Struthio camelus: one gene and its partners. The protein of the gene in region 4 purifies or fractionates together with the protein of the main gene of each other region. This does not show direct contact. Links are inferred from orthologs where the notes say so. Each region holds a gene or a part of one and is shown on either strand. Other genes may lie near its edges.

Evidence for each region.
Region 1: the proteins of MPHOSPH6 (region 4) and EXOSC7 purify together in Homo sapiens (affinity purification with mass spectrometry; 4 studies listed by BioGRID and IntAct, counting the BioPlex papers as one, with this or other methods). This does not show direct contact. The link is inferred for Struthio camelus from reciprocal best matches to the Homo sapiens genes MPHOSPH6 and EXOSC7.
Region 2: the proteins of MPHOSPH6 (region 4) and EXOSC4 purify together in Homo sapiens (affinity purification with mass spectrometry; 7 studies listed by BioGRID and IntAct, with this or other methods). This does not show direct contact. The link is inferred for Struthio camelus from reciprocal best matches to the Homo sapiens genes MPHOSPH6 and EXOSC4.
Region 3: the proteins of MPHOSPH6 (region 4) and EXOSC2 purify together in Homo sapiens (affinity purification with mass spectrometry; 8 studies listed by BioGRID and IntAct, with this or other methods). This does not show direct contact. The link is inferred for Struthio camelus from reciprocal best matches to the Homo sapiens genes MPHOSPH6 and EXOSC2.

Annotation. Positions count from the first base shown.
Region 1 is NC_090943.1:50,965,427-50,973,075, reverse strand, and holds the start of EXOSC7 (exosome complex component RRP42), read left to right. Parts: upstream 1-4,647; 5' UTR 4,648-4,798; coding exon 4,799-4,855; intron 4,856-7,649. UniProt on the Homo sapiens protein: Non-catalytic component of the RNA exosome complex which has 3'->5' exoribonuclease activity and participates in a multitude of cellular RNA processing and degradation events.
Region 2 is NC_090943.1:173,041,268-173,047,966, reverse strand, and holds EXOSC4 (exosome complex component RRP41), read left to right. Parts: upstream 1-3,898; 5' UTR 3,899-3,954; coding exon 3,955-4,125; intron 4,126-5,243; coding exon 5,244-5,450; intron 5,451-5,620; coding exon 5,621-5,980; 3' UTR 5,981-6,190; downstream 6,191-6,699. UniProt on the Homo sapiens protein: Non-catalytic component of the RNA exosome complex which has 3'->5' exoribonuclease activity and participates in a multitude of cellular RNA processing and degradation events.
Region 3 is NC_090961.1:6,313,795-6,321,753, reverse strand, and holds the start of EXOSC2 (exosome complex component RRP4), read left to right. Parts: upstream 1-4,954; 5' UTR 4,955-5,016; coding exon 5,017-5,141; intron 5,142-5,257; coding exon 5,258-5,359; intron 5,360-5,449; coding exon 5,450-5,495; intron 5,496-6,142; coding exon 6,143-6,232; intron 6,233-6,581; coding exon 6,582-6,647; intron 6,648-6,822; coding exon 6,823-6,891; intron 6,892-7,959. Other genes in the region: PRDM12 (PR domain zinc finger protein 12), read left to right, coding at 1,014-1,125, 2,188-2,570. UniProt on the Homo sapiens protein: Non-catalytic component of the RNA exosome complex which has 3'->5' exoribonuclease activity and participates in a multitude of cellular RNA processing and degradation events.
Region 4 is NC_090951.1:5,796,012-5,803,047, forward strand, and holds the start of MPHOSPH6 (M-phase phosphoprotein 6), read left to right. Parts: upstream 1-4,027; 5' UTR 4,028-4,125; coding exon 4,126-4,176; intron 4,177-7,036. UniProt on the Homo sapiens protein: RNA-binding protein that associates with the RNA exosome complex. Involved in the 3'-processing of the 7S pre-RNA to the mature 5.8S rRNA and play a role in recruiting the RNA exosome complex to pre-rRNA; this function may include C1D.

The DNA of each region.
Region 1 (7,649 bases), on a different chromosome or scaffold from region 4:
ATATACTTTATCTTTTCTGAATCTGGAGCAAAGGAAAACATGCTACAGAGTTCTGGTGTCCACCAGGCATCCCTTCCTGGCACACAGTCAGAGGGAGAGCACGTAAAAGACCAGAATTTTGCCTCCTCCATTCGTATGCTTTCTCAAAGCTTAAGGTTTCCTAAAAGGTCATACTGTTTTTAAAAATTACTTTTGAGAAGTACTCCAGAAATATTCAGAAGTTGTTGTTTAACAACAGATTTACAATTAAAATACAACTCACTGTCCATTTCAACTAAAGCAGCCAGAGCATAGCATCCTAGTTTCAGCACAGCTTACTCCCAGCCTTGAAGTGCATCACTGTCCTCCGATCCCATTGCAAAGCCGCAGTGAAACCTCAGGTGACATGCAGAGCCACCTTTGAAGTCAGCACTTCTGTTTAGCTGTCTGGCTGCTCCCTTCGATACCGCACCAATAACCGCGTTTCATCGCTACAGCTCACTAGCGGATCGTAAGACCCCGATGAAACTGCTGAGGCCTCAGAATTTAAATTTCCTGCCGAAGAGACATTACGCAGCCCCGAACGCTAGCCTTTAGTAACGCAAGCACTGAAGCGGACCTAAACAACATACTGAAGCTAACGTTCTTTAAAACAAAACGCTGCAAGCCAGTGCAATGCAGACAGGAGCCCAGCGAGTGGGCACAGCGCAGGATTTCTCCTGAGCAAGGCGAGCGTGAAACCGCCCGACGCGTTCCCATCTCGCGACCGAGGCGAACGGCTCCAGTAAACAACCTCTCGGGACGCCACCCGCGCCGAGCCCTCGCCCCTGCCCCTGCCCCTGCCCCTGGCGCAGCGCGGGCACAGGGCGGCCCCCGGCTGGCCCTGCCGGCCTGCCCGGGCCCCACCGCGGCAACGGGCGGCCCCCCCCTCGGCGGCGGGGCCTCACACACGCCCCCCCACCAGCCCACACCCGCCCACGCGGGCGCGGCCCCCGCTGCCACTCCCCACCACCTACCCCACAGGCCGCCGCCGCCGCCGGTCCGGCGCGCGCCCCGCCGCCCCCACGCCGCGCGCGCCCGAGCGCACGCCGCCAACGCCGCGCGGGCCAACGCGCCCCCGGCGCGACGCCCCATCGGCCGCCAGGAGCCGGCGGCGCGCTGCCCCCCCCCCCCCCGACCCGGCGCGGCGCTGCCCTCCCCCGCCGCCCCTTACGCTGGCTCGGCGAGGAGGTGGGGCGGGCGGCCGGGAGGAACCAGGAAGTGAGCGGCGCCGCCCGGCAGGGCGCAGCCCCCTCCCCCCCGCCGGGCGCCCCGGCCCACGCGCGGGCCCCGGCCGCCGGGCTCGGCCCCTCCGCCCGCTGCTGGCCCGGGCGGGCGGCCCTGGGGAGGGAAAAATGCGGGGCTCGTGAGGAAAAAAACAGGTTTTAGCAAGGGGGGAAAAAAGACCGTCTATATAAGAAGTATGTTTGTTAGAAGGAAAAATACGTTTTTCAGAAGGAAAATGCAGGTCTTGGAAGACAAATACATTTTGTATACGGAATAAAAAATGGTTTGTGTAAGGAAAAAAACCCCACTTCTTGTATAATAAAAAAGTACTGAAAAATGAAGGGCACCAACGTACACAGCAGCCAGAACAAGGCTCCTGCTTCTGCCTTGCGCACCCTCCCACCAGCCTTGTGGGCTTGTAAGGCTTCAGGATAGGGGCTGCCCTCTGATCCCGCAATACCGGGCACGTCAGGAGTCATGCTGGACATACAAGAGTGGGGGTGCTAACGTTTCTTCGTCATATGCTTCTGTGCGATATCCACTGTCTGTATGCTGAAGGGTAAGCATGTATATACATGCATATGTATGTCACAACTGATGCACTTCCATGTTCACTCTTGAGCACAAGACAGATGGTTTGCAAATGTCCAAAACACTGAAACATCAAACAGGACAGAGCATATAACTGCAGGTGTAATCACTCCCAGGCACCTGCTTGTTATAGATAGGGCAGTTGTTAAGTTTGCTTGACACTCTCCATTTTAAGCCACTGTTTCCGATGTTTACAACTTCACCAAGCATTAATCATGCAGTGTGAATTTTTACATTCCAGGTGGTTCCCTCAGGCAGATTTAATTTTTCCATTTCAGCCAACACATGTCATCCATTTACCATAATGAGGTTAGAGAAAAAGACATTGCTTTGCCCTTGTTAACAAATCTGGCAGCCTTTTTCTCTGATATACCTTCGTTGTTGCTTTGCCTTGGATAAGGGTATTCAAGTGTACTAGGATGTGGCCTTCATGTCAAGCAGATGCCTTTTGCCATCCCTGAGAAAAACAAACCAGATACAGACTTACGCCTCTGGAAAATTGCTGTTCTCATGTGAACAAGGAAGATTTGCTAGCTAGGCATCTGAACTATGCAAGTATTTGACTCACTTTAGGCAGACTCCAAGCTGGGATGGCAGAGGGGAAGAAAAAGCAGTTTCCTTGCTACTGCAGTCAGCTGCTGTGGATGAAGCCAAGAGAAAGACAGAGCTAGGAGCCAGCATACAGTCTTCCCTGTGCTCCCAACAGAAAGCACAGGATGCATCTGCGTTAGCCCTTTAGTTCAGAACAGGAATTCACTTTTTGAAGGGACTCTCTCAATCACTTCCCCTTACTGTAGTGTGGTTTACACTGTCAAGTACTACAATGTAAGAAATGCACTGCTGGGTGACACAAAAGGTCCATCTGTGTTGGACAGCAGCATTAGCAGATGCTATTTAGGAAGAGCACGTGAGCCTGGCCCCTTTTCTTCAGGGTCATTCCCTTTCCCTCCTACTCCCCAGCCTCACAGCTGTTGGCAGGGACCAGCCCCAGGAGGAGGCCTGGCCCTGCTCATCTCCTCAGGGTCAGGGGGAGGGTGCTCAGGAACAGGGCAATGTACCCACAACACCGCCTACTGCCACAGGCCTACTGCTGCCTCTTTCCTCCCTGTCTTGCCCCCCTCCTGCTATTTTGCTAAAAATGAAAAGACTGGGTGCCTGCTCGCCATCCTGGAGGAGCTTGTGGCCCTGGGTCCAAGCAAGGAGAGGATGAGCCCCGACAGGCAGGCCCTGAGTAAAGCACAGAGGCAACCCTGGCGCTCCCTCCTCTCCCTGCTTCCCAAGAGCCCCTGCCCTGGGATGGCTGACTCACCCCCCTGTCCCTGTCTGCCAGGACCCAACTTCCTGGGCCAGCATCCATGGGGCCCTGGAGCCCCACAACCTTAGAGACTAATGAAGATCTTCCAGACGCAAGGCTGCCAGTGCCAAATTTGCCATGGTGCCCGGGGCCCCCTGACATGGGGCTCCCCCATCCCTCATGCCCCCGTCTTCCAACCCCCATGCATGCAGAGCAATGATGCACTACACCCACCCAGCAGCCTCCAAACTTCCCTGAGTGAGACCCCACTGCTGACCCTTTCTGCTCAAAAGTGATCAGTAATCCCAACTAAATAACCGTGGCATGCAGGAACGTGATTCTTTCTGGATGCAGATAAGCAATGGGAAGCATTCTAGAAATGTACCTACTATGCTAAATGAACGTTCAGCCCACTAAAGGGACCAGACCAGAGCTAATCCAAAGTAAAATTCCCAAAATGTGCTTCACTACAGGATAGCTGCCATTGCATGCTTCAGATTGCCTGCTGAAGTAGGCACAGCCAGAAACGCTTCGCACATCTGACTGACCAAGGAGTTTAGGGAAAGAGCACAGGAAACTTCTACAGAAGCTCTGGCTTTGTAGCGTGTCATGCAAGTCACTAGTCATCCTTGTAAGCCACGGGTCTTTTTTACCCAGCTATCTGTCAACATGAAGATATTGACAGATATGTCAATGTGAAGATATTTAATATTGCCAGATAGCAATATTAAAAATAATTCAAAAACTATACACAAGAGCTGTGCTAAGAACATGCAACTTACAACATTAACCACTTGTTGTTATGAAACACTCAATTAGGGCTGTCAAAACCCCTTAATTTAATTATTGGGTTAATATATAGTATGGGTTTTTAATTGCATTTCCCATACTACTTTCCCAGGGATATATGGCACAGAACCAAGAGCACTCTCCTAATGAGAACGCCTTGTTTTTTCCCCGCTCCTGCACCAACCTGCCCAGCATGCTGCAGCTCACGCAGACCCTTCTCCGAGGTAAAAAAACCTGTTTATTTTCTCATTCTTCTTAGGGTACTTATCACTGTGCAGGCCCTTCCCAAACGCTCGTGTATTTTCACAGCTTCTATGAGTAACTTTTACCTTGGCAAAGGGCAGGCAGAGAACGATGAACAACCCCCTTGGCCTATGACGAATTTGAGCTTCTCGGACGGGAAATTTTCCGGCGCACTGGCTGCTCAGCAGGCACCGTGTCCAGAGCAGTGCCCGCGACTGCCCAGGTGGGGCTGGAGCTCACTGCACCCCAACGAGACAGGCGCCTAAAGCCGGGAGAAACGCCCCCCATCGCCTGTCCCCCAGGAAAAGCTTCCGAGGAAAAAATAACGACTGCGCTCCCGACCTTGCCTGCAGGCAAGCGGGGCGAGGGGGAGGCAGGCGGGGCGGCGCAAAGTCCCCGCCATCAGGGGCGCGCACGGCCTGCCACGGGGCCACGACGGCGGCCCAGCCGCCCCAACGGCCGGGGCGCGCGCCGAAGGCAGTGCGCAGGCGCGGCGCCCGCCTCCCCGCTCCGACGGCGGCCGCGCTCCCCGGCGTCACGTGGGAGCGGAGCGGAGCGGCGCGCGCGCTCCCTCGCTTCCGCCCGCAACGGCCGCGGCGGAAGCGGAAGCGCGCGGCGTCCGCGGCGGCGGGAGCGATGGCGTCGGTGGTGCTGAGCGAGGCGGAGAAGCTGTACATCGTGCACGGCGTTCAGGTAGCGGCGGCGGGGAGGGTGGCCGGTGGTAGCGCTGCCCGGTGAGGGGCGAGGGCAGGACCGTCCGTCCCCCCCCACTCCAGGCCTGGTCTGCGTGAGCGGGCGTGCGGGGCGCTCCGGGACAGCGGCAGGCTGTAGGTGTCCTGCCTTGTTTCTCCCTTCCCTTTTTCTCCGGGGGGTGGTTTGTTTATGCTGGGAAAGAAAGCCTGGGTAGAGATGGGGCTACGTTGTCGAGGGGCTTTTTATTGTTATGACTTATGTGTGATAGTCTGCTTAAGGAAACTGTGCAGGTGTTACTGAAAATACAAATTTTCAGCAGAGTGTACTGCAGTAATCATCCTGACAGGTGTGCTCACTGTGGAATGCAAGCTGGGGAATGCTTATTATGCATGAAAGCCTCACTAGTATAATCTGATGTTTCAGGCTCTTTATTGTTTACTTCTGTGATATCAACAATGTTTTCAGCCCTGTAGCTCACTAATCATTTGTGGGGAAATGAGTTACAGTGTAGATTTTGTGGGTGGGGGGAAGCTTTCCATTATCTTGGGTCTAGGAGAGAAAGCTCTGGGATAATCACCCATTTGTGTCACTCTACCAGAGCTGTCACTAAACATACGGAGAGCAGACCATCAGAGCAGGGAGAAGATTGGCAGCAGGACATGGTTGTCTGGCAAAACTCAAAAAGAAGAAGGAAGTGTACAGAATGTGGAAAAGGGGACAGGCCACTTGGGAGGAATACAGGGACGTTGTCAGAGTGTGCAGGGATGCGACAAGGAAGGCTAAGGCCCAGTTGGAATTAAATCTGGCAAGGGATGTCAAGGACAACAAGAAGGGCTTCTTCAAATACATCAATAGCAAAAGGAAGACTAGGGAAAACATGGGCCCGCTGCTGAATGGGGCGGGTGCCCTGGTGACGAAGGATACAGAGAAGGCAGAGTTGCTGAATGCCTTCTTTGCTTCAGTCTTCACTGCTAAGGCCAGTCCTCGGGAATTCCAGACCCTGGGGACAAGAGAGGAAGGCTGGAGAAAGGAAGACTCTCCCTTGGTTGAGGAGAATCGGGTTAGAGATCTTTTGTCCAAACTTGACATCCATAAATCCATGGATCCCGATGGGATACGTCCACGAGTGCTGAGGGAGCTGGCGGATGTTATCGCTAGGCCACTCTCCATCCTCTTGGAAAGGTCCTGGAGATCAGGAGAGGTGCCTGAGGACTGGAAGAAAGCCAATGTCACGCCAGTCTTCAAAAAGGGCAAGAAGGAGGACCCAGGGAACTACAGATGAGTCAGCCTCACCTCCATCCCTGGAAAGGTGATGGAACAGCTCATCCTGGAGGTCCTCACTAAGCATGTGGAGGACAGGAAGGTGATCAGGGGTAGTCAGCATGGATTCACCCAAGGGAAATCATGCTTGACCAATCTGATAGCCTTCTATGACGGAATGACTGGCTGGGTAGATGAGGGCAGAGCAGTGGATGTTGTCTCCCTGGACTTGAGCAAGGCTTTTGACACTGTCTCCCATCACATCCTCCTAGGTAAGCTCAGGAAGTGTGGGCGAGATGAGTGGACAGTGAGGTGGATTGAGAACTGGCTGGATGGCCGAGCTCAGAGGGTTGTGGTGAATGGCGCAGAGTCAAGTTGGAGGCCTGTGGCTAGTGGTGTCCCCCAGGGGTCAGTCCTGGGTCCAGTCTTGTTCAATGTATTCCTCAATGACCTGGAGGAAGGGACAGAGTGCACCCTCAGCAAGTTTGCTGATGATACTAAACTGGGAGGAGAGGCTAACACACCAGAGGGCTGTGTTGCCATTCAGAGGGACCTGGACAGGCTGGAGAGGTGGGCAGAGAGGAACCTCATGAAGTTCAACAAAGGCAAGTGCAAGGTCCTGCACCTGGGGAGGAATAACCCCATGCACCAGGACAGGCTGGGGGCTGACCCTGCTGGAAAGTAGCTCTGCCGAGAAGGACCTGGGGGTCCTGGTGGACAACAAGTTGACCATGAGCCAGCAGTGTGCCCTTGTGGCCAAGAAGGCCAACGGTATGCTGGGGTGCATTAGGCAGAGCGTTGCCAGCAGGTCGAGGGAGGTGATCCTGCCCCTCTCCTCAGCCCTGGGGAGGCCCCACCTGGAGAACTGTGTCCAGTTCTGGGCTGCTCAGTACAAGAGAGACATGGAGCTACTGGAGGGAGTCCAACAAAGGGCTACAAAGATGATGAGGGGTCTGGGGCATCTCTCCTCTGAAGAAAGGCTGAGAGAGCTGGGCCTGTTCAGCCTGGAGAAGAGAAGACTGAGAGGTGATCTGATCAATGTGTACAAGTATCTGAAGGGAGAGTGTCAAGAGGATGGGGCCAGTCTCTTCTCCGTGGTGCCCAGCGATAGGACAAGAGGCAACGGGCACAGACTGAAACACAGGAAGGTCCATCTGGACATGAGGAAAAACTTCTTGACTGGGAGGGTGACAGAGCGCTGGACCTGGTTGCCCAGAGAGGCTGTGGAGTCTCCTTCCCTGGAGATATTCAAAACCCGCCTGGACACAATCCTGGGCAATGTGCTCTAGAGGACCCTGCTTGAGCAGGGGGGTTGGACTAGATGATCTCCAGAAGTTCCTTCCAACCTCAACCATTCTGTGATTCTGTGGTTCTGTACTTTTTTTCTCGTCCTCTCCCCCCTCTTCCCTTGCTCTTTCCCAAGTTTTTGCAGTCGTATAGCGCTTTAGCCTGTTACTAAGCTGGAGAGTAGTGCGTGGAGCAGGGAGGAAGAGTGAAAGACACGTGGGGAGAAGTGCCAAGAGAAAAAGGATTA
Region 2 (6,699 bases), on a different chromosome or scaffold from region 4:
CAAGCAGTTCATATAGCGAAAACCTGAGGATTTTGTGATGTAATGAAGGCTTATCTTGACAAAAGTCAACAGCAAGTAAACCTTGGGGAAGGAAAGGTCCCTTGGAGCGCCGGGCGAGTGGACTGTGTCGGACTCAGGCTACCTACCTCCAAGGGGTGGAAATTTATTGTGACCGCAGTTGAAGCGTCGGGCGGTTTGGGTAATGTTTACCCCCACACACACACCATCGCCATCCAGATTGGGGATTGCAACAGGATTAAGCCAATGCTATAGTACACGCCCGATGCCACAAGAGATACAGCAAGATAATTGGTCACATTTTAAAAAGAAAATAGCACAAGAGTGGTGTCTCAAGCATGGAGGTAAGTGGACTTTCCACTGACCCTATCGACCTCAGAGTAATGGTATAGTAGAAAGATGGAACGGGTTGTTTAAACAACAACTCAGATGGTGTAAGAGTGGCTCTAATTGGGGAAGAAACTTAGGGGAAAAACTTAGGTGCCTTGAGCACCTCAGCGAGGCATCCCGGAGAGAGGTGAGAATTCAGCACCGTGGCTGGGAAACGCGGGGCTACTCTGCAGCGCTTTCAAGGGAAAGTAGATCTACGGGAGTGAGACGAGTCACTACTGAGGCTGGGATGGGAGCCAAGACCTATGTCGTCTTGTTCCCCCCCAGGAGCTGCCGACCTCCCGGACAAAGGAACGGGAACCGTCGTTCAACCTGTCTACGACGGAAAGCGTCTGCGTAGCAAGTACGTGAACTGTCGCGTAGGGATGACGTCTAGAAGGGAAGCCACGGCCTAGCCTTGCAGCTACTGAATTATCCCGTTTTGCTACTTGCTGTGCCATTAACTTTGATTTTGCTGTGTCATCGCCACAGAGGATGTCACTAATATCTAAGAGGACCCCTCGTGTATCCGACAGTTCTGATCCTTACTTTAGGAAATCCAGGATATAGCGCATAAACGTGGATGCACTCTGCAATAATCCAGCAAACACACACATGCTGGTGACTTCTTCTGTGACATGGGGTATGAGGCCCAACATATCTACAACCCACCAGTGCAGTAGTAAAAAAGAAGGTTAAAACCACCTGACCAACCTTACCGTCCACTTAATTGTTAGTAGTCCCTATCCAAGGACCTGGACTCGGTCCGGAGAAACGGCTACATTATAGAGGGAGACAACGTCCCCAGTGTGACCACGATACTACTGAAGGAAGGGTCTATTACATTTGCCCTCTTGCACAACTGTACCCATGCAAAAATATCAGAGAATGCCATCAAAGGGTGGCAAGGCCTGCAGGGAACAGAGCCGCTAGGACTCGTTACGTGTGCCACTTACCGGTCAAGCTCGCGGCTCGTGTGCCACGGAGGGCAGCAATAGCAATTGCCCAAGAAGTTCCCAAAAGATTAGCGTTTTTTTTTGCCGCCCCTGAAGTACGGGAATTTTACATTAAGAGTTGATGAGACACTGTTAATATTAGTAAGGTATATTTAAATCGCTCACAATGGACAATACCCATATGTGAGCAATGATATGAGTCCTGTTGGAAAACTCGCACAGTTAAGGATCTTTCCAGTGGTTTGGGAGCTGCTGGATTGGGCACAGGAGTGTTGAATTCCATGGACTTAGAGATTGTTAATAATAAAATGCCTAAACTAGGACAATTAAGCAAACAAGTTATAATTGGCCAGACCACGGATACAGTCAGTGGAACGGACACAACCACTAAAACACTGGCTATTGGTCTAAGTCCCTGGAAAAAGCTCCAACAGATTTTGAAGGAGACGTGTACCACCGTTCCCTGTTTCGTCTCCAACACCAGCCATGCCACTGCTTGTGTTACCACGCAAACCTTCGTTATAAATGAACACGAACAATAAGCCAATTGGAGCCACAGAGGAAATCCTGCTGTGTGAGGGACCCCATCACCGTACTGGTGTCAGGACCGGAGACACCAATTTACCAAAACTGAATACTCAGGGGTAGGAAGCAAGAGATGTCTGCTGAGACGTCTGGATCCATTTATTACCGCACTGTGAGTAAGGAAATCAAAGAAAGACCAATTTACCAATATACCTCACTGCCCGTTACCGTAGCTAAGAGTGTATGGGCTCCAGTTCAAGGAAGCAAATAGACTACAAACGTAATCTAATCGATACTCGCGGATGTGAACAATGGGGAAAACATGACCTGTACCGCCCTGAACGTTCGGTATCGCAAGAGCTTTGTTCGAGTAAAACCTCCTCGGGTACCTGCTGTTTAGACTCCTGCGTATGATGACGGCACTGTTGTACTTAAGGGAAAACCGGGTTTTGCTCTGCGATGGTCTATGCAATAATGGGAATATAAATAATAAATAAATAAATGAATGAATAGAACCATCGCTCCTGCCCGAGATCGCCGATGCAACGTTACGGCACTGGAAAGCTGTGAACGACTTTGTGGAAAGCGTAAAGCTGACCTCACACCGATGCTGGCGGAGTACTGGCCTACGACGGGGCAGGACCCGTAGGACCGCTATGGGACTCGGCGTGTTCTCAGATTGAGAACTGGAAACTCTCATCACCAAACATGAGGGAGCTGCTGCTTATCAAAGAAGGGGTGACTCTTGCTATCAAACATGATGCTGGCTGGATTGTGAGGACTGAAACAGAAATCAAACTGCTGGGCGTCACTGGTAGCATATTTCCATGGGATGCGCACCATTTCCACGGGATGGCAGATTGCATCTTACGTTACATCCTACGATCATGGTATTGTTCTGCATTTTATTATTATGTCGTTATGTTCGTATAGCCGAGTCTGTCACTCACCTCACCGTGTTGAAGGCAGGTATGATCAGCTGGTACCTGGTAACAAACCGTGAAGTTACGTTTAGGCGAAAGCGCTCAAACCTTTCCCCTAGCCTGACCCCAGCAAGGCGTGAGGAGTAACAGCACCTCCGCTCGCCGAGGCGGCGGGTTTGCGAGTCCTTTGGTCTGTCCCAAGCCGGGGGAGCGACTCCTGCTCCGCTTTGGGACGAACGCGGGGCTCGTGCCGAGGCCGGGTGCCCGCGGGGCGCACCGAGAGCAACGCGGGCGCCAGGCGCTCAAGGACGTAAGGAGCCGGGTCTGCTCTCCCGGCGGCGGCGGCTTTATAAGTAACCGCCTGTTAACACCTGATAAGACCGAAACTCTTTGGAAGTAAGCGTATCTTGGCGGAGCGCCCGAAACGAGCGAGAGGTGCAGGGCGCAGGGCCGAGCCGGAAGGCACGGCCCCGTCGGCCGAGCAGGAGGGGCGAGCGCTCCCGCCGTCGGCCCGCTCTCTGTTCTGCTCGTCAGCGCACGAAGTAGCGAATTAGCGAGTTGTGAGATTAGGCTGGTCTGTAGCAGAGGGATTAAGCGCTTGTTTGATTTCTACTCAACGAGCTCCCGCAGCGCAGCGCGGCTCACGCACTACCGTCGTCCCGCGAGCGGAGCGATCACGGGGCGGGGAGCGACGGAGAAATGAGGCAACCGGGGGAAAAAACACCAAAAAAACACCAAAAAAAGGAAGAAATGGCCCCGCTCCACCCCCAAGGGAGCAATCCCCAGGGCCAGAAGCCTCAAGGGTCGGCACTAGCAGGAGGCGGGGGCGGCCGGGGGCTCCGGGCAGACCGGGCACCGGGCGGGCCGCAGGGACGGGCGCGGCGCCGCCCCGCGGGGGGAACCGGGCCGGGCCGGGCCGGCCGCCCTCTCCGACCAGGCCGCGCCGCCATGGCAACGCGGGGGCGGGGCATGCCGGGAGCGGCGGCCGCGCCGCGGTGCGCGCTGGGAGCTGTAGTTCTGGCGGCGGAGGCGGCGCGCTGCTGGCCGGGCGGCCGCGCGGGGGCCGCCGGGAGGTGTAGTCCGCGCCGGGCGGGCGCGCGGGGGCCGCCGGGAGCGGAAGTCCGCGCCGGGCGGGCGCGGTCGCGGGGGCCGCCGGGAGCGGCATGGCGGCGCTGGAGCTGCTGTCGGACGAGGGCTACCGGGCCGACGGGCGCCGCGCCGCCGAGCTGCGCAAGGTGCGCGCCCGCATGGGCGTCTTCGCGCAGGCCGACGGCTCGGCCTACATCGAGCAGGGCAACACCAAGGCGCTGGCCGTGGTGTACGGCCCCCACGAGGTGAGCGCCCGCCCGGGCCGCCGTCCCTCTGGGCCTGCCGCGACCCCTGGCCGGGTGTCCCCGCCGTCCCCTCTGTCCCCTCCATCCCGGCAGGCCCGGGCGGGTGGACTGTCCCCGCTGTCCCCGCTGTCCCCTCCATCCCCCCGGACCGGCAGGCCCAGGCAGGTGGACCGTCCCCGCTGTCCCCTCCATCCCGGCAGGCCCAGGCAGGTGGACTGTCCCCTCTGTCCCCTCCATCCCGGCAGGCCCAGGCAGGTGGACCGTCCCCACTGTCCCCTCTGTCCTCTCCATCCCGGCAGGCCCAGGCAGGTGGACTGTCCCTGCTGTCCCCTCTGTCCCCTCCATCCCCGTGGACCGTCCCTGGTATCCCCGCCGTCCCCTCTGTCCCCTCCATCCCGGCAGGCCCAGGCAGGTGGACTGTCCCCTCTGTCCCCTCCATCCCCCCGGACCGGCAGGCCCAGGCAGGTGGACCGTCCCCACTGTCCTCTCTGTCCCCTCCATCCCGGCAGGCCCAGGCAGGTGGACCGTCCCCGCTGTCCCCTCTGTCCCCTCCATCCCCGTGGACCGTCCCTGCTATCCCCGCCGTCCCCTCTGTCCCCTCCATCCCGGCAGGCCCAGGCAGGTGGACTGTCCCCGCTGTCCCCTCCATCCCCCCGGACCGGCAGGCCCAGGCAGGTGGACTGTCCCCACTGTCCCCTCTGTCCCCTCCATCCTGGCAGGCCCAGGCAGGTGGACCGTCCCCACTGTCCCCTCTGTCCCCTCCATCCCGGCAGGCCCAGGCAGGTGGACCGTCCCCGCTGTCCCCTCCATCCCCTCTTTCCCCTCCATCCCCCCGGACCGGCAGGCCCAGGCAGGTGGACTCTTCCTGCTGTGCCCTCTGTCCCCTCCATCATCTCCGTCCCCCTAGGGCCAGCAGGCCCAAGTGGCCAGGTTTGTCCTCTCTGTCCCCTCCTGTCTCCCCTCCGGGCCCAAGAGGGAGCCAGGCAGCTTGCTTTCCCCCACCCACATCCTACCCGCGGTCCCAAGCATCCCCTGTTCCCCCCCCGCCCCGCCCCAGCCAGAAGGGACCCAGGTGTCTGGGCCCCCTGGGGCTGGAGCCCACCCTGGCCCCTTTGCAGATGCGCGGCTCCCGCAGCAAGGCCCTGCACGACCGGGCGCTGGTGAACTGCCAGTACAGCATGGCCACCTTCAGCACCAGCGAGCGCAAGCGCCGGCCCCACGGCGACCGCAAGTCCAGCGAGATGACGCTGCACCTCAAGCAGACGTTCGAGGCCGCCATCCTCACGCAGCTCTACCCCCGCTCCCAGATCGACATCTACGTCCAGGCGAGCCCCGGGGCCGGCGGGGGAGGGACAGCCCCTCGGTGGGGGACAGGGGTGGACGGGGAGGGGACGGTCCGTCTGCGGGGCGGGCTGTGCCCTGCTCGCTCCGGGCCTCGGCCCCAGGGGTGCCGGGGGCTGGCTCCAGCGCTGAGCCTGCCCTGCCGCTCCCCCAGATCCTGCAGGCGGACGGGGGCAACTACTGCGCCTGCGTGAACGCCGCAACGCTGGCCGTCATCGACGCCGGCATCCCCATGCGGGACTACGTGTGCGCTAGCTCGGCCGGCTTCGTGGAGGACACCCCGCTGGCCGACCTCAGCTACATAGAGGAGGCGTCCGGGGGGCCGCAGGTGGCCCTGGCCCTGCTGCCCACGTCGGAGCAGATTGCCCTGCTGGAGATGAACTCGCGCCTGCACGAGGACCACCTGGAGGAGGTCATTGAGGCGGCCAGCAAGGCCTGCAAGGCCGTGCACGCCATCCTGGACCAGGTGGTGCGGGACCACGTGCAGGAGGTCACCGCGCTGCTGGGGGACTGAACCGGGCCGCCCCGGCCGCGCGTCCCCTCGGCGCCCTCGCGCTCCGGCTGCGCGGCGCGGCCGGGAGCGCCGCCACGGGCGGCTTTGCTGACGGTGTCGGTGGAGCCGGGGTCCGCGGGCCGCGGCTCGGCCCGGTGCCGGCAGGTCCCGCCCTGCGGAGTCCGTCCTCAATAAAGGGCTGCTCGGCCGCGGTCGGCGTCTCTTCCCTCGAGGGCGCTGGGGCGATGCTTGCGAGGCCCCTGGCGGGGGACCCCTCCTCCCTCGGCCGCGTCCCGCCATCCCGGACGGAGCCTGCCCGGCCCGGCCCGGCCCTGCCGGCGCCTGTTTCCCCTTCCCTGCTACCGTGGGAGCCCGGGTCCCGCCAGTCTGCGGACCGAGGCCTCGGGGAGGGACGCCCAGCGGCCCTGGGCACGGCAGGGCCCTGCGCTCGGCCGCCGCTCGCTCGTCTTGGGGGGGCAATCCCCGGGAACGCCGCAGCCCCACGGCCCGGCACGGCTGTGTGGTTCTGCGAGCCGTTGCTCGCACCCACCCCCAACACTGCACGGCCTGGCCGGGGGGGTGGGGGGTGTTGCTTCCCCCTTGCCCCCTTGCACAGCCTGGCCGGGGGGGCCATTGCTCTCCCCCTTGCAGGGCCTGGCCGGAGGGGGCTGCTGCACATGCACTCCCCCTTGCAGGGTTTGGCCGGGGGGGGGGCCGTTGCTCCCCCTTGCAGGGCCTGG
Region 3 (7,959 bases), on a different chromosome or scaffold from region 4:
GGAGGTCCTTCTCATTTCTGAATTACGTTCCTAACACTAGGGACCCGCAAGGGAAAAATACATCTTTTTTTTAATAAAGTGATTATGTTAGTGTTGCCCGGAGCAGCTGCTCCCCTGCGCGAGAGCGTTCGTCTTCCCCACTGTGGCCGCTTCTCACGGGAGGCTGCGAATAGCGTTTCCTGGCCCCTCACTCCAGCCGCCCCGACGCCTTTGATGGTGCAGGAAAGTAACAGAAACAACAGAAATACGATCAGCTCACAAACATGGGAGCAGCAGCGGTGCAAAAGGCTTTCCCTGACCCTGCTGATGCGTTTGAGCTGTTGCAGGAGCCTGCGCTTGGGTGCAGGCAGCGTCGCCCGCCTCGCCCCGCGTCTCCCGCAGCCGCCGAGCTCTCCTCCGCCCGCCCTGGGCTCACCCAGCCCTTTGCTGATGCAGCCGCGCTTCCACCCGAATGCAGGCACAACCTAGCTAAAACGATCCCTAGCAGGGTCGGGTGGGAGATGCTGCCCACGTCCTACAGCAAGCGGGTGCCAACTGCTCCTTTCGGGGCTGAAACGCTCCGCCGAGGCACCGAGTCGGGTTTCTGGGTCGTGGCTCCCTGCGTCGGTCTCTGTTGCTGCCGTCTCTCACTTGTCCCTCGCGGGGCTGCGTATTCCTCCGTGTCTCTGTGCGCACTGCCACGTCCTCGTCTCTCCAAGCAGCAGGGACCTCTCGGTCCTTTGCTCCGGTGACCCCGGCTCTGCCTGCGCGGTCTGTAGCTGCCCCTCCACCAGCCGCAGCGTTTGCCACCCAGGACGGGGGTGACCGAGGGGCAGGTTTGTGCCGGTGGTTTGCCTGTGTCATTGCCTTCAGGGCTCAGGGGGTGCTCGGGCACCTCTGGCAGGTCCCAGACACCAACAGACCTTGCGGGAGGCGAGGTGCGGTGAGCGTGGGTGCAAAGGGACGGGGCAAGGGTGCGTGGGGAGCCGTTCGCCGTCCCGCTGACGCTCCCATCTCTGTATCCCTCTCTCTAGATGATTCCTCCGGACCAAGAGCTGCTGGTCTGGTACGGAAACTCCCACAACACCTTCCTGGGCATCCCAGGCGTGCCGGGGCTGGAAGAGGAGCAGAAGAAGAACAAGCACGGTAGGTAACATCAGAAATGGCCACGGGTGCAGCTTCTGTGCCCATCCTCTGCCCCCGGCTCCCTTCGTCCCCGGGAGCAGGGGTGGGCATGGGGCAGGGACATCCCAGGGGACGCACGAGACCCTCCGGCTCCGTAGGGACGAACGCAGGGACCATCCAGCAGCAGAGCCCAGCCCCTGCGAAGGATCCATAAAGATTGGGCAGGTGCCTAGTAATTTGAGGGGCTCCGTGTGAACCGATTAGCCCAGGGCAACTAGTGGTCCGGTGGCCAGCAGCCCGCTGCCCCAGCCCGTGGGGAGCATATCTGTGCGGCAGGGACGGTTTCGGGGAGAGGAGCAGGGCAGGCGTGCAAACAGGAAGGAAGGAGCCCCAAGGCACCGGGAAACGCCAGGCGGACAAAGTCACCGATTTCCCTGCTCGGCACTCAACGCCGCAACCCCTTTTTCCCCCGAATCGCCCCGGCAGGAGGCCTTTCTCTCCCCGGGACCCTCTGGCTGGGGCGGCTCCCCGACGTGCCCCTGGGCGGGCGGGCGCAGAGCTCCCAGGGCGCTGCGGGGGACGCTGCTTTCGGAGCCGGGCCCCCTCCGCCCGCGGCCCTCCTCCCCGCTCGGCGCGAGCCCTGGCCAGAGCCCGGCAGAGCAGGGCAGAGAGCCGGGGGCGAAGCGGGCGCCAGCTCTCCCGGGGCGGGAGAAGAAAGAGTCTTTGGGAGCTGAGCAGCCCCGACTGCGGCTCCCGCGCTCGTCTGCCCCGGCTCTGCACGGAGAGGGAGGCGAACGGCGCCGCGGGCGCCCCTTCCGTGCGAGACAGGGGTCAGGCTGAGCAATCCCCTTCCCCAAATTTAAGGAGATCGTTCCCAGCTCTGGCCACATCCCAAAGCGGTAAATATCAGCCTGGAGTCGCGGGCGGGGGTCTCCGTTCATGGGGCCGCTGTGGCCGTCCCCAGCGGGCAGGTGGAGCGAGGGAGGAGGCGCGGGGTGGTTATTTCGGGCTCGGGAAGGGAGTGAACAGCCGGGGCGGAGGGCAGCACCTGACGGTCCCCGTCCGGCGCTCTGTCGTCCCCAGAGGACTTCCACGCGGTGGAGGCGGGCGCCAGCACGACGGGGCGCATGCGCTGCGTGATCTGCCACCGCGGCTTCAACTCCCGCAGCAACCTGCGCTCCCACATGCGCATCCACACCCTGGACAAGCCCTTCGTGTGCCGCTTCTGCAACCGCCGCTTCAGCCAGTCCTCCACCCTCCGCAACCACGTCCGCTTGCACACCGGCGAGCGCCCCTACAAGTGCCAGGTTTGCCAAAGTGCCTACTCCCAGCTCGCCGGGCTCCGGGCCCACCAGAAAAGCGCCCGCCACCGGCCCCCCAACGCCTCGCTGCAGGCCCACTCGCCAGCCCTGCCCGTGCCCCATCCCGCCTCCCTGGCCCACCACATCCCCACCATGGTGCTGTGAGCCGCCGGCGCAGCGGCGGGTTTGCGGACAGCCGGTGGCAAGGGGCCAAGCCCGGCGCTGAGACGCGCGGTGCGATGGGGGGTGTCGACCCTTGGCGGAGCTGGGGGGCAGAGGCAGGGCTGCTTTGGGTGCCGAACGGGCGCATTGGTTTATTTTTGGAGCAGCGCCGTCCGCGCAGGGTTTGGGGGGGCCGTTCGGTGAGCGAGAGATCCCCCCACCCGGCTCTGCAGGGTGCAGCCGCACCGGGCTTGGTGCTCCCCAGGGAGCAGGGCAGCGGGATGTCCCTTGTCCCTGGGAGCGGGCGAAGGGATCGTGCCTCCGAGGGGCAGAAAACAGCAGGATGTCTCCTGTGGATTGGCCAGTGCACTGGGGGAGGGCTGGGGCGGCCCAAAAGCTGAGCTGGGGTGAGTCACACCTGGGTTTCACAGTTGACTTGACAGAAAGAAAAATTGCTCTTATCCCTTCTCCTCCCTTGCTCCAGCGAGTGCCCAGCAGCGCCGCGTCCCCCCCTTTAGCGGCTGGCACAGCTCCATACAGGCCATTGCGTTGGTGCCCGTCTACCCCCGGGGGGGCAGCTGTGCCCCGGGGGGCTCTTCCCAAGGGAGAGATGGCCAAGCCCCAGCGCGGCCTCCGCGGGAGCCCTCCTTTAGCAGTCGGTCGCCTTGTCCCCGCCAGCCGCGCTCGGCCTCCTCGCCTGCCGCCCGCGCGCCGGGCGTCCCCGACGCCTCTGGACGGCGGCGTTGGAGGCAGAGGCCGTGGGGACATCCCCGGCTGGACGTGCCAGCTGGGAATGCCCCATCCGCGGGCAGGTCTTGGGGGGTCTCTCTGCGCTCTGCCAGGCTGTGCCTGCTCCAGCCCGGGGACCATCGCTCCCTGCAGCCTTTCGGGAACATTTAAATTTACTTCTACCGCCCTCTGGGGACAGAGAAAGCCCGTCCCTGGGCCAGCTCTGTCCCCAAGGACAACTCTAAGCGCCCTCTGGAGTCCTGCCACAAGCGAGAGCAGGGCTTTGTATCATAAAGTTTAAAAGAAGGTATTCTAATATTAATTATAAGTCTAAGATGTATAAAGTTCTCACAAACTGTGTTTTACTTCCAGAAAAGAAAACAATTGTCACTTTAACTTTGTAAATATTTATGTAAAACATTATTTACAAAACTTTGATATTATATATTATTTGATCGTATATGTACACAGTGTAAATACGTTTGTACCTCTCTCTTGTATTCTAAATAAAAATAACTTGGAACATTTATCATTTAGAAGACGGATGGTTTGGGGAGCTTTGTTTTGCTCTGTGGTCAGGGCGCGTGACGGTTTGGACGCGTACAAGGCGAATAAGGGGGCGTAGTTTCATCTACTAGAGCAAGCAGTGCTGCTGGGGAAGAGGAAAGAGAGCTTTGGGATGCAGAAACCCTTTTGCAGGTCTGCAAGAGAAGCGGCAACTTCAGCCTAAATCCAGACGGATGGCACTATTTGGTCCAGTATCTTCTCGTTTTATTTGAAGCAACAACTGTTGATGTCTTCCCTGAAATAATGGCCATGTTTCCTCTGTGCCGGGCTACAGATATAAGTCTTGCTCGAAAGAATAACGTTTGATCTTGGCCCAGAGGAAGAGACGCAGTCCTAAAGGTCATCACGGGCTTCTTTTCCCTTGGTATTTTCCCAGCAGCTCCGAGGGTCTAACCAATGAAGTGAATAAAACTTCCACGCAAGCAGGTGATTGACCGTTGCCGCAGCTTTGCCAAACTCCTCACCCCTCCAGGCCAGCCCGGGGGGGCTGGAGGAGCCCTTGTCGCCTGGTGGAAGATCACCGGGCCCGAGGGCGACTTCGGCAATGAGAGGCGCCGACTGTTTGGTTTTCTTTTTTAAAAATCTATGAGATGTGATTTTTTTTTTTTGGAGTAATGTTATGCAACCCTCCCCTGTCGCACGTACAACCCGGCAGCGAGATGGGGGCAACTCAGCCCCTCAGCAGGGCCCTTCGGCTCGGGGGGCCGGGGCCGCCGGCGGGAGGAGAGGTCTGCGGCCACCCCAGCTGGGGGCTGGCGGCCCCACGCTCAGCCCTTGACCCCACAGCTCTCCCCGAGGACAGCTCCTGCTGCGGGGTGGGGGCGCCCGGCTGCGGGGCAGCCTTCCCCGCTCAGCCCCACAGCCTGCCCCTTAAGGTGGAGGAGGCGGGCAGCCACCTTTCCCGCACCAAACATGGCCCCCCTTCTCTCCCTTTGGATCCCAACGCGGTGAAGCCCACGCCGTCTTTTTCTGCCAGCAACCAAAATGGCCGCCCAACACGAAGCCGCTACTGCCGCCGACGGCCGCCCGCGGCCCTCAGCCAAGATGGCGGCGCCCTGGCCTCACGCGCGCTCTTGCCAGCAACCAGCATGGCGGGCGGAAGGCGCGTGTGGGAAGCGGGCGCCGGCGCGGCGCGGCGTTGCCCGCAGCCAACATGGCGGCGATAGCGATGCGGCTGCCGGTGGCCCGCAAGGCGGTGAGGCAGAGCGCGGCGCGGGGCGGCGAGAAGCACCTGGTGGCGCCGGGGGACATCATCACCACGGACACGGGCTACATGAGGTGGGGGCAGCCGGCCGGGCCGGGCGGGGGCTGTCGGCCCCGCTCGCTGAGGGCAGCGGCGCTCCGGGGGCTCTGGCGGCTGACTCCCCCCCGGCTGAGGGCCGCTCTCTCCGCAGGGGCCACGGCACCTACGTGGGCGAGGAGAAGCTCATCGCCTCGGTGGCCGGAGCCGTGGAGAGGGTGAACAAGCTGGTGTACGTCAAAGCGCTGAAGACCAGGTGCGAGCGGCCGGCGGGCCTCGTCGCGCGCGTGGCCCCCAAGGCGCCGCCAAGACAGGATTGCCCTAACGCGCGCTCTCTTGCTCCCAGGTACAACGGTGAAGTTGGCGACATCGTGGTGGGGAGGATCACTGAGGTAAAGCTCACAGAGGGTCCCGGCTGCTCTTCCCCGTTAGTGACTCCGGTTTTTCCTGACGCGCTGTTAAGTGGGAATTAAGTCTTGGCTCATATTTGAAGGGCAAGAGTGCTGCTGATGAGGAGGACGGTCCACCAGACTGAGGTATCTCTGTCTGTTCCAGAGCGTTTCTGAGGCTCCTAAAAGCACATTAGTATTTGTGCTTTTCAGCACTTGCCATCGTGCATTAGGACAACTAAGTGCTTTGCAGGGTTGGAGTTGGCGCGTCTGAGCTCTTCCCGTCTGCGGGATGCTGGAAAAGACTAAGAACTGAGGAGAAAATACATGGTTTTAATTACGGACCATTAACCAATTAAATGTTAATATTATTAACATTTGGGATTTTAAAAAAGATGAGGCTAAAAGTAGGCTACAGTGCTGTCTCAGCTCTCGCCTCTCTCTGTGTCAGTGCTTGTACAGTGTGAGCTCGCTGATACGAGCACCCATCGTGGGATGGGCCGTTCAGTTCAATCACCGTGCGTGGCTTGTTGGTCTGCAGCTTGCCTCGTGCTGGGCTGCTGGCTTGAGTGGCAGCAGGACCTCCCTCTCTGGTGAAGAGCTTTTGTTCATTTTGTGAGCATATATCAACAGAGTTTTTTCTTTTGCAGGTTCAGCAGAAACGATGGAAAGTGGAAACCAACTCCAGGCTAGATTCAGTCTTGTTGCTGTCATCTATGAATTTACCTGGTGGGGAACTGGTGAGTGCAATTGATGTAGAGCAGTGCCAGAGCCTCTCTTGTTCTGCTTTTACAGCAGAAGCTGAGGGCTGTGCACCGAGAAGCTGGGAGGCTCTGGAGCCCTTCCCACGGTTAGCACAGGGGTAGTATTGGTGTTTCTGCCTGTAGGTGCATCGGTAGTGCTCTGGTATCTTTATTTAACTCTTAGTGTTATTTGGACAGTGACCTAAATACCAGAACCTCGTTTTTCTTTGCTGCCAAGATTGTGTTTTGCGTGCCATCCTAAGGAGGTGGTCCCCTCGGTGTGGGAATCACTTGACGTTTTTCCATCCTGGGCCACGTGTAATTTTTCTCCCATTCTGCTTTTCAGAGAAGGAGATCTGCAGAAGATGAGCTTGCAATGAGGGACTATTTGCAGGAAGGAGACCTCATCAGCGTATCCTTCCACTGCTTGCATTCAGGCAGAAGACCCAAGGGGCATGGGTGAGAATGGCTAGACCTTAGCTAGCCAGACTGATAATGAGAGTTCTCTGCCTTTGGGCAGTGAGCAGCCAACTCCTGTTGGCACTGAGTAGCATTAGGGAGCTTGTTTCCTTAAGTGGCATTGACAGGCAGAAGTCCAGTCTGTATTTTCTGATGGGGCTGTGTCACTGCACACCCGAAGTCTGAAATACGGGAAGGTAAGTTGCTCAAAAGCACTTAGTTTTGGCTTAATTCTGCTCCAGTTGACTTGTAAGGGAGTGTCTACGCTGCTGCTGAGTATGGTTTAGACTTCCAAACCTGCAATGGATTGGAGCTTGAAGCAGATCAGAGCTCTTTCTGGGATGTCATCTCCCTGCTGCAAGAAATGGGATGTGAGAAGGGCAGGGAGGAGAGAGAAGGTCCCTTTGGAGAGTGCTCTGATGAAGGATAATACGTAGCCCGTCAGACAGTTCCTCCTAGGTTGGTGGTCCTGCGGCTGAAGGCCAGGCCCTTCCTAAATACAGCACAACTCCACCCAAGTCAGTAGAATTTCTTTGGCTTTATATCAGAGTAGCAGCAGGATTAGGCCTTTTGTGAGAGGTTGCTCTGTGTGTGTGTGTTTGTGTGTGTGTGTGTGTGTGTGTGTTTTGTTTTGTTTTTTTTAAGAGAAAAAGCTCTGGGGTAAAGCAGGGTGTTGTTAGAACCCATCCCTACAAGTTAGGAAGGATCGTAGCCCCCACATGGGAAAACAGATTGGAGTTCCCCAGTGCAAAGGGAATACCCTTGAGCTGCCCTTTGAACCACAGCCCTCCTTGTCCACAACTACAGGCTGCGAGTCCTGTTTCCCCCACTAACCCTTTGGGAATTGAACCCTGAGGAGAAAAAACTTCTGGCTCAAACTTGCTAACTCCTCTTCTGCAGGCCATTGCCTTTATAACTTGTTTCTCTCCCCAGGGCTCTATTTTAGGCTTTATGCAGTTGGCATTTATCTCTGGTTTTGCGCATTGTAATAAGCCAAGGGGCCGTTGGAGCGTAGGCTGCAGTTTGGGATTACCGGACCAAAGGTATTAGCGCTTAAAAGATGAAAGCGAAATGTGCTTATTGCACAAAGGGTGAAGGACAGCTATTGGATTAAAAGGGAAAGCGTTCTGCTAAATTGGGCCTCTCACTCTTCATTTTTCTGCAGGGATGGTTGATGTGTAGTTACGATCAAGATATTATTAACATTTGTGCTAAGAACTCAGAGTATTCTTCATCTTCAAAGGGCTGCACAGACATTAGCTAAT
Region 4 (7,036 bases):
GCTACCATTATGAAGCTGCTGCTTTTTGTAATCAAAAAGGAATTACTGTATTTATTCACACAAAGGTCACCCTGCCATCGGGACAGTCAAAAGCACTTAAAATGAATTGTCTTTTCCCAAACTGACAACAGGCACTTTCTTCAGATAAAAACATTTCTTTGCTGTTCTGGAGGTTTTGTAACTCCATTTTCCTGCAAGTACAGTTTTAAGTCATGCCTTTTCACACTGCATAAATTGTGATACTGCCCAAGGCTATTAAAGAGAAAACATGAGCAACGTGGGTCTGTGGTACCCAAATTATATGAGCTTAGCTTCTGCTGTAGGCTTTGCATACAGTTCCCCAAGCAAGGGAGAACTTGGGGTTCACCGAGGATGTAAAATACTCTGCATATGTCAATGCTGTAACCTAAACCGATGCCAAATTTTAAAAAGGGGACTTCAAAAACTAGAAGGATGAGTCAGTACGCTCTGAGCTGACGTGCTACTCTGAGGCTGAGAGCTGTAACAAGCCCATATCCTCTGCGGATTAGGTACAAAGCAGACTGAGCAACGTACCCGGGCCGCCAGGTTATACATGCATGCATCAAAGGCTAATGAATATTGTAACAAATCCCTGGTCACCCAGGACCTTCGGAGCTGTCGATATGCTGTATGCATTAGTGGCTCAGAACTTCATGGGAACAACAGAGATAAAAACTCAGTCCTGCACTTCAAAAACATGGGTGTCTACCGCTTGGAGAATTTCACACTATTTCTGCCCAAAGCACGGAGTACAAAACGGAGTGCATTTCTGATTCCATCCTGCTGGATACAGCACGCCGCACCTCACACAATGCTTTCAGATTTGCAAACAAATCTCCAGTAGCTCTGCCTCTCGTTTGCTCTTGCTCATTCACAGAGAACAACACATAATAGCCTCACTTAAAATATAGTAGAGGAGTTCGACACAAATGAATGACTCATCTGTCATGCTATAAGGATTTTGATTTTTGCAGGGAAAAAATGGCTTCAAATATTTTGAGACGTGTAAAATGGTGCTTCATATTCAAAGACCGTTCATAAGAAATCTAGACGATTGATAGAGGGTTTGAGAGACCTGTTTTGTCCTGGAATCACAATACCACAAGAATATGAAGAAATGAAAGGTTACTGGAAAAGGAACCTATGAGTTACCTCAGATTAGAGCCCATTGGCATGAAACTAGTACACAACTGTAATTTGTATTGTTCTAAAAAGGATAACTGTTTGAATAATGTTAATGACAACTTTGATTCCACTCCTGTAATTACTGGGGGGAGATGGGACTGCATTTCCTAGGAAGAAAAATCTTTTATCTGTTTGTTTAACATACAGTCTTTGATGAGTTGGAGCATCTTTCCCTTGAGTTATTTTCCTGAGCATTTTTGTTTTGAAAAATAACTGAATTTTCAGGCTGAAAGCAGAGTTGCCATAGAGCTGTCAGAGCTGCGAGAGGTGTCTGATTGTCATTTCAGATGACCCTGGTGTCTTCTCTAAACCGAGCATCTTTCCCTACTTGCCTCCTCACTCTGCTCCATCTCAGAAGCAGGAATATTTTCAGGGCTAGAGTCTACTCTCACCTACCCCCCCCCCCTCAACCAGTAAATCATAGAGATTTCTGCTCTCATCAGTGGCATGTCTTCAGATTTAGCAGACAGTATAATCCAGTCCGTGAGACAGCTGATTGTTATCTATAACCTCCCCATCCACTTCAAGCGATGGGAGATGTAATCCAAAAATTTCCTTCCGACTTTTTTACAGCTGAAATACATCAAATCCTGTGGCAGCCTTTTTACGATCTCCACTTCTCTAAATAAACATCACAGCGCCTGTACTACATTTACTGCCAAACGCTTCTGCCTTCAGGTTTGGACATGCTGAGGCAGGCATGCTGTGTTAGCTGATGTCCAAACGTACAGGACAGACGTAAGCCACGTGTCTCCGTGCAAGGCTGCGGTCCTGCACCGAGACACCATCAGGTCACGGGGTGCATCCAGGCTGTGGCCGCGGACCCAGAGCTCCTACTCGCCAAGGAACACATTGTGAATTATTAGACTCAGCTCCCAAAAATTAAAGGGTTGGTGCTAGCACGCTCCTTAACATCAAAGGTACCAGGCAACCAACACGTGAAGAGGTGGCATCCAAAACAAAGTTGTAAGAGAAGTTTGCTGGAGAAATGGGTTGCAAAAATGGATGAGATGAGTCACTACACCAGCAGAACAGGAAGGAAGTTGTGACGAAGGACCTCAAACAAAGCCCCGCAAAGCAGCAGCACAAAAGCTGGACAAGTGTTGACAGATGCACAGCAGTGTATTTAGAAGGAATCACTTGAAGTACGTTCCTGGACTGTAAATTAACTGAAACTGTTCAGAAAAAAAGACCTGAGTGACACTGAAGGCCATGCAATTAAACGCAGGGCTCAAAAGCACAGCAACGATCAACACGGCAAATTGAAAATAACACCCAAAATAGCAAGATAATGGATGTACTATGCCATTATATTAATTAATAGCTCTCCCATATTGGTTTATTCCGGTCTTTCACAAAGACAAATATACTCATTCTTCGATGCATATTTGTATTTGTAAAACTCAGAACAACTGCCCAGCTTTCTTTTGTTGGAAAGAGCTGATGAATGTTAAAGAGAAAGTGAAAAAAGAAGGTATAAACCTGATGGGGCTAAATGAAGTGGGAGTTATGGGCCACGCTCACAAAGAGACTTCCTTGCTGGGGCTTTGAATTTCAGAAACACTTAAGCACTTTCAATTCATTTTCAGACCTGGAAATGAGGGTGCTCCACCTATATGAGAATTACTTACTTAAATGCAGTTTTATCACTGTCCTAAAAGTGATTGTGGCTCTGTGTTTCAATCATTTTAACCTATGGAGCTTAACTGTGTAATAAAGATGCCTGGATTTTGATAATTCTTCCTTCTCCTTTCCCACCGCAGGCAGGTTTTGCCCTTCGTTATACATTTTTGTGAACTCTATTAGAATATAAATCTTTACATATGTTCTTCAAGCTCACTTTGACCTACATTTTGGATGTATGGCATTTTTTTTTCCTAGTTCGTTTTTTTGTGCACCCCAGTTCGTTACACTTTTGCACGGTGTACCCTCACTCTTCTTAGTTTATTGCCTGGTTTATATGTACTGAGCATCCAGAGAGGCCTCGGGAACCTGATTTATCAGAAGGTATATGGAAATTGTGGTACCTGCTTGTGTTTTGGAAGTCACCCGAAAATTGGGAGTCAACTGAAATTATGCCAAAGGAAATTTGGCGTAAGGATTTCTTCGTGAGCGTCCAGAGCCCAGCCTGGTAGCCTAAAGGGAGAACTGCCAAGCTCGGATTCCAAAATCGTGATTCAGGATGAATCAATCATTTGAAGTTTTTTATAACAACTCAATTCAGTTGCTTCCCAGTTTTAATCACATGACTATTTTGCCTTTTTTTTTTTTTCCTCAAGTAAAAGCGCTTACTTTTAAAAAACGAAACCTAAACAGGTCACGCAGTCTCTCAACGCCAATATGAGCAAACTTTATATAAAATCTCCCTCCTTCCTTCCTATAAACACCAGAAAATTATGGACAAAACTCTACACTACGCAGCGCTAATAAGAAATCCAGGATCCAGGACGCTTTTATTTAATCTTATTTTCGCACCAGCTGGGGAAGACGGGGCCTTCCCAGGAGCGGGCCGTTGGCCGGGTACGCGGGGCGTCGAGCGCGGTTAGGGAAGGCGGCCCCAGCCCCTCGCAGGCCGTCGGGAAGGAGGGTCAAGTCCCAGCTGCGGCCATCTGCCCGCGGGGCGCTGCCCCTTCCCGCCCCGTTCGCCTCTCGCTCCCCCCCCCCCAACCCACGCAGCAACCTTATTTCCTCGGGATTATTAAGTAAAAGCAGAGGGGCTCAGGCTCCGGCCGGCCCCCTCAGCAAGAGCAGGGCGGCGGTTCCCCAGGCCGCCGGAGCCGCCCCCGAGCGGGAGGAGCCGCGGCGCCGCCCTCCTCCTCCTCCTCCTCCTCCTCCTCCCCCCCTGCGAGGGCGGCGGCGGCGCTAGGCGAGGGCGGGGATCGGCCGCGGCCTGCTGGCGGCGCGGGCCCGGCGGCCGCCATGGCGGGCGAGGTGAAGGCCAAGCTGTCCAAGAACCTGCTGCGCATGAAGGTGAGGCGGCGGCGGCCCTCGGAGGGGACGGGGCGGGTGGGCGCGGGGGTTGCGCTGGGCCCCGGCGGCGGCGGCTGAGAGCCGGTCGGGACCGGAGCCGGGGCCGCCCTCCGCGGCCGGAGGGATCAGCGGCTGCCGCTAGGCCGGGCTGCCCCCGCTTTGTGTATTTCCACCCCCCCCCCCCAAAAAAAAAAATCCCCCCAAAATTTTTAAAAAAGATCCCCTCCGGCCATGCTGCCCCCCCCCCCCCCGCAGCCCCCCGTGTGTTTGAAACCCTGGTGAGAGGGCTCGGGGGGTTGGGGCAGGAGAGGAGCTTCCCGATGGCAGCGGAGATCTGCCTCCGGCAAGAGGGCAGCCCCGAAAAACGCTGGAGCGTCTCTTCTCGCCCTCCGGTTTCTCTGCGAGCAGGTCGTTTGTCGTGAATAAAAACGATTAGACTTCTTCCCTTCCCTTTCTATTATGTTAATACTGCTTGCCTTATTTCAGGGAGCTTTTACCCTTGATACTTCTGTGCTTGGTTGTGTGTGTGTGTGTGTGTGTGTGTTCTGGTTTTTTTTTTTTTTTCGGTCAGTTTGCATTGAACGTGGGGTTTTAACCACCTTTCCCTTCCCTTCTGCCAACCCATGAACGCCAAGGCCATCAGTAAAATAAAATAGTGAGCTACCCGTTACCCTTGGAGTTGTGACCCTCGTGTCAAGGCTGATGTGAAGCGAGTCTCCGCTTGCCGGCCCGTGGCTTCTGGTTCACATCGTGTAACGCAGCCCCTAATTCAGCAGAGTGCATCCCGCTGTGATTGATGGCCCTCTTTTTCTGGAAAACAACCAGTACAAGTTGCTATTAATTGGGGTTTTTTTGTTTTTTTTTTAAGTTCATTAAACATTTGTAAGTGGCTGAGCCCTTGTGGCTTCTTGATTGTGGTGTTTTACCTAAGCGTGTTTTTTTTCCCCACATGTATATTTGAGAGCATAGTTCCCATTTTTCGCAAGATGCCAGCGGAAAGGAGTTTATCTTCCATGTAAAATGGACTCTGCTACAGAGGGATGGTGGAATATTAACAGATTCTGCTAGCGAAAGACTAAAATTGGTGCGCAGAGGGAACCAGACATAACGTTCCTTATTTTTCAAAGCGAGTAGATGATGCACTTAGTTAGCCAGCAGCGCGTGGCAGAGGAGGACTCCTTTTGCCTGGATTGCATTTGATACTTTCTTTTTAAGTGAAATTCCTGCTACTGGTTTTGCCAGTTTATTAAGCCTCGGGAGATTTTGGCAGCCAGTTTTCAGATGCCTCTCTTGAAAGGCTGTGGAGAACAGGCATGCGAGTGCAGCGCCATGACAATTGCTGGTTTAGTATGAGCAGTAGGTCCGCTTTGAAGAGATGAATAGGCTTTGCAAAGGCCATACATAACCCATTTTTATTTAGCATTTTCCTTCTACAGATCTCCTTGTTTACCAGTATTTTAATTAATCGTGTAAGAGTTGCCTCTGCAGGTATTGTCACCATTCTAAGGGCAGGTTCCCAGTGAACTGGGCCCAGAAGGTGGTGTGGTCAGTGGCAGTGCTGTTGAAGCCCCTTGCATTAATTGCCGGACTCCACGACTTGCCTCGTGGTGTCACAGCGTGGCTCACGCTTCTGATTCTTGCACCGTTTGATCCAGGTTCCATTATTCGGGTAAACTGATCCAGGAAACACTCAGCTAATGACTTGCGTGTTCTGTGTCTACCACAATTGGTATCTTTTAATTCATTCATGCGTGTTTACATTGTAGATAAATATGATCACATTTTTTTATCTAGTTATTCCCTGTGGTAATCTGTAGGAACATAATCTTTAAAATGTAGTGTAAAATGATTATTTAATTGGGTGCGTGTAACAAAATTTCTCCTGTTGAGACTTCTGACTGGCTAACCAATTTCCATGAGCGGTATGGTTTTCCACATGATAGATTCCCATATTTTCCTCAAGTAGATACTGCAATTTTAATTGGAAAGCTTTGACATGTTTTGGGCCGACTCAGAAAACAAAAATCAATTTTTCTTTCATTAACTTGTACACGTGGATGCAAATAGAAATATAAATGGGAAAGGAGACACTGGCACTGTATTGGCTTTTACTTCAGGATTTTTTGTTTCATGTTGCTGTGGGCATTTTGTAAAGTCTGAAAGGGGGGGGGGTATATATTTTTTCTTTTTTTAATAAGCTCAGTGACACGGGAGCTGTGTGTGAGAGGCGTTTAGGGATGCCTTCCTGGGCCTTACCCCCAAGCCAAGGCTATTCTAGCTGGGACCAAAAGTATGTCAGAGCCTCTGCTACCACTCAAGGTACAGATGTGCCCCACTGGCTTGTTAACAGTCAGCCTGCAGGCTTATCTAAACACAGGAGTGGTGCTGCTTTAAATGAGAGGGGTAGAATTAGTTGATATGAGATTCCTGTGCAGCGGTGCACATGCCGTTATACAGGTATGCTTTGATGGCCACATAGCAATTTTTGTACAGGTATGTGTATAAAATTTACTGATAGACTAGCCTCTTGCTGGGAATTGTGTTGCTATAAATGTGTAGCCCAGACAGATAAGGTTATTCAAAGGCTTTCTGTAGACTCAAAGGGAGGTCCCAGCTCCTAGGGATGTGAGAATATAAGGGTTATTACTGTAAAGCTGTGAAGAGTTCTCCTTTCTCTAGCGTGTTTGGTGAAATGGGTTAACATTGTTGATGCTTAAATTGGCAGTCAGCTCAGGCACTTGAGCTGATGCAAATGGAAATAGAAGGGGTGTTTCACGTATCTCAGATGTGTAGGTTTGCTCTCTCAGCAGTCTGTCATGGGCTGTGAGAGATGCCCTCTCCTACTCCCAGCTGTGAAGGA